Struthio camelus: one gene and its partner. The protein of the gene in region 2 interacts with the protein of the main gene of each other region in a pairwise test. Links are inferred from orthologs where the notes say so. Each region holds a gene or a part of one and is shown on either strand. Other genes may lie near its edges.

The links. The genes of interacting proteins can lie anywhere in the genome.
Region 1: the proteins of ZCCHC10 (region 2) and PRR13 interact in binary tests that used the Homo sapiens proteins (3 or more experiments, as listed by UniProt). The two-hybrid records come from large-scale screens. The link is inferred for Struthio camelus from reciprocal best matches to the Homo sapiens genes ZCCHC10 and PRR13.

The regions. Positions count from the first base shown.
Region 1 is NC_090969.1:3,336,492-3,344,092, forward strand, and holds the start of PRR13 (proline-rich protein 13), read right to left. Parts: upstream 3,022-7,601; 5' UTR 2,959-3,021; intron 890-2,958; 5' UTR 861-889; coding exon 842-860; intron 712-841; coding exon 386-711; intron 301-385; coding exon 250-300; 3' UTR 1-249. Other genes in the region: AMHR2 (anti-Muellerian hormone type-2 receptor), read right to left, coding at 3,309-3,530, 4,311-4,447, 4,542-4,689, 6,017-6,177, 6,579-6,693. UniProt on the Homo sapiens protein: Negatively regulates TSP1 expression at the level of transcription. This down-regulation was shown to reduce taxane-induced apoptosis.
Region 2 is NC_090954.1:2,125,809-2,133,600, reverse strand, and holds the start of ZCCHC10 (zinc finger CCHC domain-containing protein 10), read right to left. Parts: upstream 3,127-7,792; 5' UTR 3,060-3,126; coding exon 2,914-3,059; intron 1-2,913.

The DNA.
Region 1 (7,601 bases), on a different chromosome or scaffold from region 2:
CCAGCTACATGGGTGAGCTCAGGTGGCCACAGGTGCCTGGTGGTCACGGGTGCATGGGTGGTCACTGGTGCTCACGGCTGGACATGGGCGGTCCCGGGTGCTTGGTGGTCACAGGTACATGGGTGGGCACGGGTGGGCACGAGTGGTCCTGGGTGCTCCCTGGTCACAGGTGCATGGGTGGGCTCAGGCGGTCACGGGTGGTCACGGGTGGTCACAGCCGGACATGGGTGCTCAGCAGTGGCGGCGGCCTCAGTCGGAGTCGCTGGAGGAGGAGGAGGACGACGACGAGGACGAAGAGCGCTGCAGGGACACGAGAGCGCTCGTGGCAGTGGGGGGGGGGGGAACGCCCCCAGGTGCCCCCCACCCCGGGGTGCCCCCTCCTCACCTTCCCAGCCTTGTGCTTCTTCTGAGCCTTCTTCAGCCGCTTCTTCATCTTCCTCGCTGCCTTGGCGTCCAGCCCGGGGGGGGGCAGCACCCCGGGGTGGGGGGGTGGCAGCAGGGGGCACCCAGGGGGCCCCGGTGGGTACAGGGGAGGGGGGCCGAGGGGCTGCCCGGGGCCCCCCATGGGTGCTGGGGGCACCCCGGGGTGGGGGTAGGGGGGCTGGGGGGGGTTGGCAGGGTGCGGGGGGTACATGGGGTTCGGGGGGGGCACGGGCTGGGGGGGGTACGCGGGGTTTGGGGGGTACACGGGGTTTGGGGCGCCCGGCTGCCCTGCGGGGGGGGAGAGAAAATTAGAGGGACGTCGAGCCCCCTCATTGCCCCAAGGGGGCAAGGGGGGTTCGGAGCAGCCCCCCCCCATTTTGGGGGTCCCCCCTCAGCACCCCGGTTTGCCCCCCCTTACCGGAGCTGGGGTCCCACATGGCGCCGCAGTGGGTGATGGCTCCGCGACCTGGGAGGGGGCGACACGGGGTGAGCGGGGACCCCAAATAGCCAGCGGAGGTCCCCCAAAACCTGCGGGGGGGTCCGGGGCCCTGCTGCACCCCCTCCCCGGGGGGCTTTCAGGTGTGGGGCAGCACCCAGGGGTGCCAGGGCCTCTGGGGGGGTTGGGGGGGCAGGGGGGGCAGCAGGAGATTGGCAGGTGGGGGGGGTGATGGGTGCGGGGGGCACAAGGAGGGTTTGGGGGTGTAAGTGGGAATGGGGGTGCAGGGTCACCGGGGTGCAGGTGCATTTGGGGGGTGCAGGGGTTGCAGGGGCGATCAGCGGGTGCACGAAGGATTTGGGGTGCAGGGGGGTTGGGGGCATGGAGGGAGCAGGGGAGATTTGGGGGTGCAGGGGTTGGGGTGCAGGGGGCTTTGGGGTGGAGGGGGGTCGGGGTGCATGAGGGTTGGGGTGCAAGGCGGTGCAGGGACTTGGGGTGCAGGGGGCTCTGGGGGTGCAGGGGGGATTTGGGGGTGCAGGGGTTGGGGTGCAGGGGGCATTGGGGTGGAGGGGGGTCGGGGTGCATGAGGGTTGGGGTGCAGGGCGGTGCAGGGACTTGGGGTGCAGGGGGCTCTGGGGGTGCAGGGGGGATTTGGGGGTGCAGGGAGTTGGGGAGCAGGGTGGGAGCAGGGGTGCAGGGGGCATTAGGGGTGCAGGGGGATTTGGGGGTGCAGGGGTTGGGGTGCCGGGGGCTTTGGGGTGGAGGGGGGTGGGGTGCATGAGGGTTGGGGCGCAGGGCGGGAGCAGGGGGTGCAGGGGGGTGCAGGGGTTGGGGTGCAGGGGGCATTGGGGTGGAGGGGGGTCGGGGTGCATGAGGGTTGGGGTGCAGGGCGGTGCAGGGACTTGGGGTGCAGGGGGCTCTGGGGGTGCCGGGGGCTTTGGGGGTGCAGAGGGGTCGGAGTGCATGAGGGTTGGGGCGCAGGGCGGGAGCAGGGGGTGCAGGGGGGTGCAAGGAGTTGGGGTGCAGGGTGGGAGCAGGGGGTGCAGGGGGCTTTGGGGGTGCAGGGGGGTTTGGGGGTGCAGGGGTTGGGGTGCAGGGGGCTTTGGGGTGGAGGGGGGTCGGGGTGCATGAGGGTTGGGGTGCAGGGCGGTGCAGGGACTTGGGGTGCAGGGGGCTCTGGGGGTGCCGGGGGCTTTGGGGGTGCAGAGGGGTCGGAGTGCATGAGGGTTGGGGCGCAGGGCGGGAGCAGGGGGTGCAGGGGGGTGCAGGGAGTTGGGGTGCAGGGTGGGAGCAGGGGGTGCAGGGGGCTTTGGGGGTGCAGGGGGGTTTGGGGGTGCAGGGGTTGGGGTGCAGGGGGCTTTGGGGGTGCAGAGGGGTCGGAGTGCATGAGGGTTGGGGCGCAGGGCGGGAGCAGGGGGTGCAGGGGGGTGCAAGGAGTTGGGGTGCAGGGTGGGAGCAGGGGGTGCAGGGGGCTTTGGGGGTGCAGGGGGCATTGGGGGTGCAGGGGTTGGGGTGCAGGGGGCTTTGGGGTGGAGGGGGGTCGGGGTGCATGAGGGTTGGGGCGCAGGGTGGGAGCAGGGGGGATTTGGGGGTGCAGGGGTTGGGGTGCAGGGGGCATTGGGGTGGAGGGGGGTCGGGGTGCATGAGGGTTGGGGTGCAAGGCGGTGCAGGGACTTGGGGTGCAGGGGGCTCTGGGGGTGCAGGGGGGATTTGGGGGTGCAGGGAGTTGGGGAGCAGGGTGGGAGCAGGGGGTGCAGGGGGCTTTGGGGGTGCAGGGGGCATTGGGGGTGCAGGGGTTGGGGTGCAGGGGGCTTTGGGGGTGGAGGGGGGTCGGGGTGCATGAGGGTTGGGGCGCAGGGCGGGAGCAGGGGGGATTTGGGGGTGCAGGGAGTTGGGGTGCATGGAGGGAGCAGGGGGTGCAGGGGGTTTTGGGGGTGCAGGGGGCATTTGGGGGTGCAGGGGGGGTGCAGAGCGGGAGCAGGAGGTGCAGGGGGGGTTCCGGGGGTGCAGGAGGCATTTGGGGGGGGCCGGGGCGGATCCAGGGGCCCCGGGGTGGATTTGGGGAAGGGGGGGGGGGACCCGGCCGGGTCCGATCCAACCTGCCGCCTCCGCTCGCTCCGCGGCCCCGCCCGCAGGAAGCGGGGGAGGAGCCGGACGCCTGGGCCCTCCCCCGGGGCAAGAGCGGGGGAGGAGCCGGGACGCCTGGGTCCCTTGCATGGGCGGGGTGGGGGGAAGGTAGCCAGGACGCCTGGGCCCCCTGCACCGAGAAGGGGGCGGGGAGGGTTGGCAGCAGGACGCCTGGGCTCGCTGCACCCACTGGGTGGGGGCTCGGACGCCTGGGCTCCCCCCCCCCCTTTGCTGCTCCAAGGCCACCCCGTGCCTCAGTTTCCCTTCTGCACCGAGCCCTAATTGGGGGGGATCGGAGAGGGGGGCACCTCGCACCTCCTAGTCAGCTGCTGGACGGGGAGCCCGGACGCCTGGGCCCCTTGTGGAGGGCAGCAGCGGGGGGGTCAGCGGGCGCCCGGCCGCCTGGGTCCCCTGGGAGGGGGGCACCCTGGGGGGGGCCGGCGGCCAGGCGCTGGAGCCGCTGGTGGGCCCGCTCGGCCGTGAGCCGGGCCTCGGGGTCGGGGTCCCAGCAGTCCTCCAGGACCTCCTGCAGCAGCGCCGAGGGCTGCGGGGCGCCCGCCTCAGCACCCCGGGGTGCGCGCCGGCACCCCTGGGCACCCCGGGCATGGGCACCCTTGGGTGCTTGGGCAGGGGTACCCCAGGGTTGGGACCTCCCCAGGTACGGGCACCTGGGCACCCTTGTCAGCCCTGGGCACCCTGGGCATGGGCACCCCTGAGCATCGTCACCTGGGCAGGGGCACCCCGGGCAGGGTCCTCCCTGGGTACCCTTGGCACCCCTGGGCACCCCAGGCATGGATACCCTGGGCATGGGCACCCCTCAGCATCGTCATCGGGGCAGGGGCACCCTGGGGCACCCTGGGCACGGACACCCCGGGCAGGGACCTTCCCGTGCATGGGCACCCAGGTTGGGCACTCCCAAGCCCTCCCCTGGGCACCCCGGGGCAGGGACACCCATGGGCACCCTGGGGCAGGGACAGCCCTGGACACCCTTGTCACCCCTGAGACCCCCTGTGCACCCATAGCAGGGACACCCGTGGGCACCCAGGACCCCCCCCAGCACCCTGGGCATGGGCAACCTGTGCAGGGACCTCCGTGGGTGCAAGCACCCGGGCACCCTCATCACCCCTGGGCACCCCTGGGACCCCCTGGGCACCCCGGGCAGGGACAGCCCTGGGCACAGGCACTCTGTGCAAGGACCCCCATGGGCGCGAGCACCCGGGCAGCCTCACCACCCCTGCACCCCCCTGGGCACGAGCGCCCCGTGCAAGCAGCTCCCGGGCCGGGGCCGCCCCGCGCAGGGCGGCGGGTGCTGCGGCGGGCTCACCTGCCCGGCGCGGTGCCACGCGGCGGGGATGAGCGGCCGCCGGCGCTCCTCCACGGCCAGGCGCCGCAGCTGCGCCGGCGTGGGGCTGGCGCCCAGCTCGGCCTCGTACGCCAGCCGAAACTCGGGCACGGGGCGGCCTGCGGGGCGTCGGGTCAGCGGCAGCCCCGTGCCCCGGCCGGGGGGTGGGTGGGTGGGGGGTGCCTCGGGCGGGGAGCACCCGCGGGTGCTCACCGGGGCTCAGGGCCTGGCATCGCGACAGGATCTCCCAGAGCAGCAGCGCCAGGGCGTAGACGTCGGCTTGCCGCAGCGCCCTGCCCCAGGCCCGCAGGTCCAGACTCTCGTCCAGGATCTCGGGTGCCAGGTAGCGCTGGGTGCCCGCCTGCGCGCACCCGCAGTGCTCGCTTGGGCCCTGCTGCCTTGCACGGGCATTGCCCGGCTTGCAGGGGCCCCGCGGGGCTTGCAGGGGCATTGCCCAGCTTGCAGGGGCCTCTTGGGGCTTGCAGGGGCATTGCCCGGCTTGCAGGGGCCCCGCGGGGCTTGCAGGGGCATTGCCCAGCTTGCAGGGGCCCCGCGAGGCTTGCAGGGGCATTGCCCGGCTTGCAGGGGCATTGCCCAGCTTGCAGGGGCCCCGCGGGGCTTGCAGGGGCATTGCCCGGCTTGCAGGGGCATTGCCCAGCTTGCAGGGGCCCCGCGAGGCTTGCAGGGGCATTGCCCAGCTTGCAGGGGCCCCGCGGGGCTTGCAGGGGCATTGCCCAGCTTGCAGGGGCCCCACGAGGCTTGCAGGGGCATTGCCCAGCTTGCAGGGGCCCCGCGGGGCTTGCAGGGGCATTGCCCGGCTTGCAGGGGCCCCGCGAGGCTTGCAGGGGCATTGCCCGGCTTGCAGGGGCCCCGCGAGGCTTGCAGGGGCATTGCCCGGCTTACATGGGTCCTGTGCAAGCAGCACTGCAGGGCTTGCACGGGCATTGCTGCCTTTGCACGGGCCCCACGGGGCTCGCACAGGCATCGCCCCCACTTGCACAGGCCCCACGGGCCTTGCACGGGTGCCGCAGCACTCGCACAGGCGCTGCAGTGCTTGCACGGGCATTGGGACGCGGCTTTCGCCGGGCAGGCCCAGCTTGCACGTGCACCAGGTCTCATTTTGCACCAGGGCCTGCCTTGCGCCAGGGCCATGCTCCTACATGCACCAGCACCCACCGTGCACCAGCACCCACCTTGCACCAGGTCCCTCCTTGCACCAGGGCCATGCTGCCACGTGCACCAGCACCCACCTTGCACCAGACCCCCCCTTGCACCAAGTCCCTCCTTGCACCAGGGTCGTGCTGCCACGTGCACCAGCACCCACCTTGCACCAGGTCCCTCCTTGCACCAGGGCCATGCTGCCACGTGCACCAGCACCCACCTTGCACCGGACCCCCCCTTGCACCAGGTCCCTCCTTGCACCAGGTCCCTCCTTGCACCGGGGCCATGCTGCCACGTGCACCAGCACCCACCTTGCACCAGGTCCCTCCTTGCACCAGGGCCATGCTGCCACGTGCACCAGCACCCACCTTGCACCGGACCCCCCCTTGCACCAGGTCCCTCCTTGCACCAGGGCTGTGCTCCCACGTGCGCCCCCCTGCCTGGCATGCACCCACGCTCCCACCCGTGCCCCCAGCACGGAGAAGAGGGTCCCGTCCCGCCGCGGGTCACCCGGGGCTCCCCGGCACCTTGCGGATGGGCACGGCGTGGCGGGCGCTGCTGCCGGCCTGGGCGCGGGGTGGCAGCGCCAGCGCCAGCCCGAAGTCACCGATGGCACACGTCCCGTCCTCGCGCACCAGCACGTTCTGGCTGCTCAGGTCCCGGTGCACCACGCTGGGCTTGTACAGGCCTGGGGGTGGGGGGGGGGGGAACACGATGTCACAGACGCTTCCGGGGGGGGCACCCGGGGGTGCTCGCGTGGAGTGGGGTGAGCATGGTGCAAGCACAGGGCCCTGCAGCGCTTACAGAGACTGGGTGAGCTCGGTGCATGCACCGGGCACTCAGAGGTGCTTGCACTGGAGAGGTGAGCTTGGTGCATGCACAGGGCGCCCCGGGGTGACGCAGAGTCCAGGCAAGCTCCGTGCATGCACCAGGTACCCAAGGGTGCTTGCGGAGAGCAAGCAAGCTCAGTGCACGCGTTGGGCACCTGGGAGGGCTTGCAGAGAGCGTGTGAGCTGGGTGCATGTGCAGAGCACCCTGGGGTGCTTGCAGAGGCCAGGTGAGCTCGGTGCACGTGCGGGCGCCACTCACCGTCACGCCAGAGCTCCTGGTGCAGGAAGGCCAGGCCGCGGGCCAGCGAGAGCCCCAGGCGCAGGCTGCCGGCCCACGTGCCCACGTGCTGGCGCAGGAAGTGTCGCAGCGAGCCCTGGGGACACGGGCACACGCTGGGGACACGCACACACGGGGACCCGGGCCCTCCCCCCGGGCACCCCCGCAGCGCCCCGTGCACCCGTGCGTGCATCCAGAGCACCCCACAGGCACCATGCGAGCTGGTAGCACCCCATGCACGGGCATGAGCACCCCACAAATACAGTGTGCACCCAGAGCACCCCATGCACACACACATGTGCACCCAGAGCACCCCGTGCACGTGCATGAGCACCCCACAAATACAGTGTGCACCCAGAGCACCCCATGCACACACACATGTGCACCCAGAGCACCCCGTGCACGTGCATGCATGCCTGCAGCAGCCCGCGCACGCGCGTGAGCACCTGGAGCACGTGGAGCACCTGGAGCACCACGCACGCCCACAGCTGCCCATGCACACACGTGGGCACCCAGAGCACCCATGCCCACCCACAGCAGTCTGTGCACGTGCATGGGCACCCAGAGCACCCATGCACACCCACAGCAGCCAGTGCACTCCCGTGGGCACCCAGAGCACCCCTGCATACCTGCAGCAGCCCATGCACCTGCGTGGGCACCCAGAGCACCCATGCACACCCACAGCAGCCAGTGCACTCCCGTGGGCACCCAGAGCACCCCTGCACACCTGCAGCAGCCCATGCACCTGCGTGGGCACCCAGAGCACCCATGCCCACCCACAGCAGTCTGTGCATACACGTGGGCACCCAGAGCACCCATGCCCACCCGCAGTAGCCCATGCACCCCCGTGGGCACCCAGAGCACCCATGCCCGCCTGCAGCAGCCCGTGCATACACGTGGGCACCCAGAGCACCCATGCCCACCCGCAGTAGCCCATGCACCCCCGTTGGCACCCAGAGCACCCATGCCCACCCACAGCAGCCTGTGCACCCGTGTGGGCACCCG
Region 2 (7,792 bases):
GTCCTGTTATGAACATCCATCCTGCTTTCAATGCCAAGTTTATTTGGCTTCATAGTCTAGCCTTAGAAACATTGATGTAAATCAGGACTAAAGAACTAATTAAACTTGCAATCAACTCTGCACAATTAACTCTGACTTCAACAGGAAACAACACTTTTAGTCCTGAGGGGAAAAAACAAAAACAAAACCCACACACAAGGTCTTGTGAATGGTTTAAGTTCCATCTTCTTCCTGTGTCCTAAAAGACATCTTGAACAATACACAAAACTCTTCTGAATGCCTGCAAAAGAGTATCTGAATAACCGTCACACTGTGCAAGATGCACTTTGCCTTAAACAAAATAGTACCTCATTTAGACCATAAGTCCACTTGTTTATGTTAAACAAAAAACAAACACAGAAAAGGTTTTTAAAGACCAGAACTTTAGCTCATTTCAATCAACAAATAAAACTGTAGAACAAGTGAGGTTCTAGATAGCAAAGGGATAAGCAACAGACTGTAAGTGTGGTACTTAGACAAACATAAGCAAAATATTCCTGAATGGTTACAAACTATACTTAAAACACTGCTGCTGATGAGCAGCGCTCCTCCGGGTGCATCTAAGGATGCCCAAACATTAACCACCTCACACTCCAGCACCCTTGAAAGAAGAGGTTAAAGTACAAATAATGTAACAGGTGCTTTGAAAGGCTTCATAAAATTAAAAAATGTTTAGTTGTGGGCCTGCTCTTAAAATAAATGAAGTATACCACATGTGCTGCAGGGAAATTGATTTAAGTTTCATACACACACACACACACAAAAATCATCCCTTTTTCTTTTCCTTTCCAAATAACATTCAGGTAGGTTTAAGGCTGTACCCTAACACTAAGGACAGAAACACGATGTTTCACTTCGTCAGGTATGCTCAAAACATGTTACTGTTTTTATATACCTATTATTCATTCACACAAGAACGCAGCAAGCTTTAGCATGTAGGAAAGTTTACACTGAGAAGACAAATACAAGTGAACTACTGCAACAAAAACTTTTTTAAACACACAAACTACATTTACATTTTGATTTTTGCTAGTATTAAACCACTGCAAAGAAAACTGGGACAAAACCGGTAACTTATTTCTTTACTAGGAAAGCGTCCGGTGTAATTCTTGCCTTGGACTTCTGACTCTGATGCAGTCATTACACATGAGCAGAACGAGAACTCTCTCATCCTCTTAATCAAGATAGAAAAACATTTACGTTTTGTTGCTTTGTATCTCAGGCCAGCCCAGACCATAGGAACAGAATGGGCAGTCAAAGCAACAATAATATAATTCAGCATTTCCAAGGCTTTAATGCTATTCACCTGACCGATGTAGACAATTCTATGCAAACTAAAATGTTAAGATAAAATCCTAAAAGCAATATAATAAGCAATTACAGGAAGTAATAATTACTTATTAATTATTAATAATTAGGAAGAACAGATCAAAATAGCTCAAGAACTACAGATTTGTAAAGACAGTGTCAACACTGACAAGTTTTAACAGTAATTAAAAGCTCAAGACTAAAACAAACTTTTCACACAGATCAATTATCACAACCTAGAAGCAAGTCTTGGCAGACGTACAACTCAGCAATTCTCATCAAGCACATGGAGAAATAACACGCACTAAGAAATCATTCTATGACCAATATAAAATAGCAACTTAAAAAAAACAAGTATTCTGCAAGTACTTTGACATTCCAAGTATATTTTCCATTGGAAAGTAAGAAACGAATTATACTAGCTAATGAAAAAGTAAAGAGGCAGCAAAAACCATCCATATTGTTTCTAATGCTATGATCAGCCAAAAAAATCCCTAAGAACAAACCCCCTCCCTAAAAACCCAAAAACTCAAAACACGGCAGTAGAACACAGGCATCTGCTTTACTTAATGTCAGTAATCAAAAAACATTGGCTTTTCCTCATTTCAGCATTTGGCAATCAGATCTCCCCGATATTTAGAGAATCACCCAAAAGCAATAAGCATAACTGAGTAAAGGGTGCTTGCTTTCTCCCCTCCCCACCCCGGGTTTTTTTTTTAGTAATTTACTAAACATATTATAATGTGAAGCCAGAAATTATTTGGTCCCCCCCACACCTGACTGACAAGAGTGACACGATAAGACCTGTGCCTACCTGCATCACAAGGTCTTATACGCTTCACTGAAAGGGACGACATGCTAAACCCATAAGGCAGCCTTTTCCCAAATAGTTGCTAACTGGCGTTAACAGCAACGAAAGGGAAAGTTTTAGTCAATGGGGAGATTGCCTTTCCTTTTCAGGAATCCTGCTTTCATTTTTGATCATTTCACTGTAATGATTTTATTAATTCTTTAAATCACCATAACTCCCTACAACAGAGGGAGAAAACCTCCTGCACTCTGCTGCAGAGGACACACACAATTTTTGGTTTTTTGTTTTGTTTTTAAACAAGAAAGCAAACATAAGCTTATGTTTGCTATCTCAAGTCCCTCTAAAGCCTCCACCTTGCGCAAGATGGAGCCAGAAATCACTAATTCCGCAACTCTTACAAAAAACACGGGACCCTTCAGGTTCAGGGAGCCCAAAACACCATATACGGTCTTAACCCTGTCAGCTCCGAAACGAAGAGAGTCTCAGCCCGGTTAACAGGATGAGCCAAGCCTCACTTGGGAGCGTTTCCCTTACCCACCCGCAGCACCACGCTGCCAACAGCGGGGCACCCGTGAAGGGCGTCTGCTCTGCACGAAACTGCCCCAAAAGAGAGCCGGGGGGCCCCACAGCCGGGGGGAGGGCAGGGGAGGCCCCCGCTCGGGGAACCCACGGCCAGAGCCCCCGCCCCGGCTCCGCAGCCGCCCCTCGGCCGCTCCCCCGCCTCGGGGCGCCTCTCGGCCGCCCGCCGCACTCACGCCTGTCTCCGAGCGATGAGTCGGTGCATGGGAGTCGCCATCTTAGCGGCCCGGGCGGGAAGTGAGGCGGGCTGCCGCGCTGCATGCCGGGCCACTGCCTCCTCCTCCTCCTCCCTCCCTATTGGGTAGGACGGCGTCGCTGCCATGGAGAGCGAGGCATCCCGCGGCCAGAGAGGACGCACCGCGAGGACCGCCGCTCCGCTCGTCTCGTCTCCTCCCGCGTTGTCATGGTGCCCGCGGGATGCCGGAAGTGCCGGCCCCGGCGGCCCCGGCCAACCGCCGCCTCGGGGCCTCGCCGCCATCTTCCACCCTTCATCGCCCCCAGGAACCTGCCTCCCAGTTAATAGCTTTTCTTTTTCTTAGGATGGGTGTATTTGAAATATCTAAACCCAGCAGCAGACAACCCATCCCTCACTATGACCGGAGGGCACCAGCTGCAGAGCCTGCGACCCCATCCTGTCACCCAGCACCAACACAGAGCCCCTGGCGCCGTCCCGTCACCCAGCACCAACACACAGAGCCTGTAGAGCCTGCGACCCCATCCCGTCACCCAGCACCACCGCAGAGCCCCTGATGCCATCCCGTCACCTAACGCTAACCACAGAGCCGGTGACATGGTGCCGCTGAAAAATTTCTTGAGCCACTGAGCTGGCCCGTCTGTTGTTGCAAGAGTTGGGCAATTTTACTTTTCTTCCTTCACATAAGCAGTCCAGCACACCTAAAGGTAGCCTGCTATGAGTTCCCAAGAACCTTTAGGTACGTGAAAAGTTTGAAAGCGTAATAGCTCTCTGGTTATACCATGAAGGAGCCCAAGAAACGTTCGCAAGAGCTAGATCTCAGAAAGGAGCAGTTTAACCAATTAGTACTGCTAAAACGTTGCAAGCGTTTACCAGCACATTCATTTGTAGCAGCTCAGGTTTCTATACCCTGCACTGATAGAAAAAGAACGTCTCAGAATAACTGAAAAGATTAATTCTGCTACACACGTGGATGCATAACCATGGCTCAATAATACATTAAATACGAATCACTTTTCAGAGACTGGAGATGCTGATAAGTCATGTTGACCCTGCATGAGTCAATGTGTTCTGTGTTTGACGGTAAATACAGTTCAGATATATCTAGGAATCATAAGGCAAATGTCTTTCCTCCACCCCACTCAGCCCAAGAGGGTGAAGTCCCCCAGCTGTGCCAACAGCAGCTGTTATTTTTGGCTCCTACGTCACCTCCTTACAGCCTCTGGCATAGGAGGAGAGGTCAAGGGACAGAAGAAAAGAAGAGCAGTGGCTGAGCTTTCTGACTGTGCAGAGCTGGCAGGCAGCCCCGTGGGAGTCTTTGCCAGCTGGCCCAGGTAGAGCAGCCCTTATCCTAAATTCAGGGAAGCAGGGAATTTGGTTTAATATATTTGCCTCTTAATTGCTGTATCGAAACTTATCGTTGTCTCATGAGATCAGTGTTAAAATAATATATGGATCTGCATTACAAAAATCCTCAAGGAAACAGATTTTTTAATGCTGAGCTGGGATTTCTCCTAACATTAGTATCCTGGAAGCACATCATATCTAGCCGTTTTCAGTATTCATTCAGCACTATCATATCATATGGATGACTGACATTAGTTAAACAGCTGTTCCACTGGGCTTTTACATTTGCTGAAATTTATGGACTGCTACCAATTTATAGTGGTTTATTATCAGCTATGTAGCTTTTTAAAGTGTGCTTCCTGTGAGTCGGTGGCATTCATTTAATATATAATACAAAAACATGCATTATATTTTCTTAAGTTAATTAGAATCCAACTGTACCAGTTGGATCAGGACCATACTCTGTTAGGAACTGTAGAAATACAATAAAAGACAGCCCTTGCTCAGAAAAGCTTACGCTTATCTCAAGTCAAGGTAGAAGGGTGGGAACATTGCACAACAGAATTTGTGGGGAGGGAAAATAGGAATGTAACAGAAGTGAGAACACATGCCTATATAAGTTTATATTTTAAAGTAAGTCACAGACATATAAGAAAAAATATATTTATCTGTCATATTTAATATAGCAATAAGATTGTGCTATGTTTTCGCTCCTGTACAGTGTTCCACCAACAATCAATATGCTTCTGCATCATTCTTTCAGGTAACACAACATTTATAAGCTACTACTTTTCTGATAAATCTGATGCTTTAACATGATGAGTATCCCAGGTCTTATTTGAATTAGCAGGCATGAGGCAGAGAGGTCCTACACTTCTGATGGTGCAAGATCAGGACACAGCCAGGAGATACTAGAGCCAGAACTTCCTGCTGCGTGTCACACGTAATACTGGTAATCACAGCGATGGTAACAACAACATCTGCTGAGTTCAATGGCATCAATTAAATATCTCACTGGAAAGGTAAGTATCTTTACTGAGGGATTCTGTTAGATGTAAATGACTTCAACTCACCAGAACTAATTACTGTGTGACTAATTGTTGAGTATTATGGTAGTTCCTGTCCCCAAACACTGTAATTGTAATGTCTTAGGTTAGTGGCTGTTACTCTGTGCATCCTATTTTCTTCTATATCTGGCACTTTGTCTGGTATCTAATCATCGTCCTGTTTCTGATGATTCTCTGTGATAACCTGTGATTAGTCATATCTGACAGCTTAGCTAAATTCTGATGTGTGATACCTGGCATGTTATAAATGATTGTTCTCCGCAGCATAGAGTTTGGCTGCAGTATTTGAATCTTGATGTCTGGCATCTCACTTTTATTGGAGAAAGTAAGACAGAAGAATTTCCTGTTTTAGGACTGTTCTAAGACATGTTCTCAGAAAAGCGAAATAGCTGAGAGTAGGTATTTATAATAATCTATGCTTTATAATAAATTCCTGTCTGTTGATCCTTTTTTTACCTGAGTATCACTTAAAATCTTAGAGTAAATTATAAACTGATAACAACATCTATGTTATACTTAATACCATTTAGATTGTCCCTAGTACCTGTGTGTTAATGCAGCAGAGCTAAATTTCCCTAAATTTGCCAGTATAACAAGGTTTCTGACTTCAGAAGCAAAAAATTCTCCATAGAGTAGATAGGCTTTTCCTTATACAGAGACTTCAAAGATATAACTTTTATTAAAACAATCCACTTAAAATATTTCTACCTGAGGCAATGTGAAAGTATTCTTGTGACTACAAAGTCTGCAGGTTACTGCAGACTTTTTTGAACCCAAAACAGGATCTCACAGCCTCTCTTTCCGTTCAGAGGTAATTCACCAGGGCACTGATTAACATACCAGAGAAGGTGACTTCAAGCGCCCTCCAGACTGAATGTGCAGAGTCACTGCACAGCCCTGGGCTCACTCGCAAGGGCTGGGGACGGTTCAGGGGAGCTGCTGCTACTCAATGAACTGACTGTGCCCATAAATCCTGCCTTTGCACATTAGGTTGCTATTTAAAGTTGCAGTATCATTAACCTGTTTCTAAATATGCTGGGCAAGGAAATTACTTTCCAAAATGTGCCCCGCTCTACACAGCAGAGGGAGGAGGTACACAGACGACACAGGAGACAAATCTGGGGAAAGCATTGAAGCTTCAGTGACACAGACTTTGAGCCGCTGTGTGTCAGCCCATCAGAGAGACTGTTTACGCTACGGTTTCACCCCAGCACTTTTCTGTGCAAACGTACTGCTTATGAAGAAAAGGTGTCACGTTAGTTGTTCAGGGACTGTACACCGAACAGGAGAAATGTAGTCAGAACCAACATACCTCCCTTTCCACGGCTTAGGAAGAGCTTATGTCATGAATAAATGGTTAAACCTCCATTGCCAAGGCTGCTGTCTTCTAATCCCGGTTACCCAAAACTGTGATGAATCTTCCAAAATGACTAACAGTCAAGTAGTTAATAGTGCTAATGCTGAACGAAAATAATGACAAACCAGGAGCACTAGAGACAATGTTACTTGACGTTTTAAAATTCTGTATTCTCCTCCCAAGCTCTCTTTAAGAAAATATCCAAAGAGAAGCCAGTCATATCACATATTCCTTCCTGAAAAAATTAGAAATTAAAGCACAATCCAAAGCGGACATAGATATTAAAAAGACATTCACACTGATTACCATATTCCTGTTTATAGAACTGTTAGCATTTTCAGCATGAGTAAAAAATAAAAGGCAGAGAGAGGGAGAGAGAAACACAGAAGGTCCTTATTCAGGCAAGACTGTAGGGCAGAAAAAAACCTCAGTGATAAGGAATACAGTAAATAGACTTGAATCACACCCTGTCTGCAATATATTGCCTCTACTCTGTTGTACCTTCCCTAACTTTGAGTTTACACAAGGTAATACGTTAAGGTAGTACGTCAGTGTTGACTAGTTTGCTTTGCTTCTTTGCAGAGAAAACAAGCTCACGCGAAGCTCCATGTTACTAGTTTTAGTTCAAAAGCCAATTCTTTTGAATTTGGCTAAGGTTTTCTAAATAGTCACAATGTAGACACAGACTGAGGTATGGGATGGTCTTTTGTTCTATTTTCTGTCACTTTGACTTGCAGTAATGTCTTTCCCACTTCCAGTTATAATACATGGGTGTAAATCAGAGCAGAATCAAGTCCCGTCCACCTAGGAGGTCAGGAACATGCCAGGCTTTTGCAGGAATGTTAAATAATTGCCTACTCAACCATTTCTGGCTGTTTTGAAGGAATAGAGCCATTTTAGTCTCATGACTTGGGAAAAGGCATTACATACACACATACTATGTTTTTCGGCATGCCAGTGACTAACACCAGTGACATTTAGAATTTTGTGGAAAATCGTAGCATTTCCTAATTGAGGAGAAAAAAAGGAAAAACATTGACATTACTTATGAAATAAAATGTCTGAAAAAATTAAGTGATTTTATCGAAATG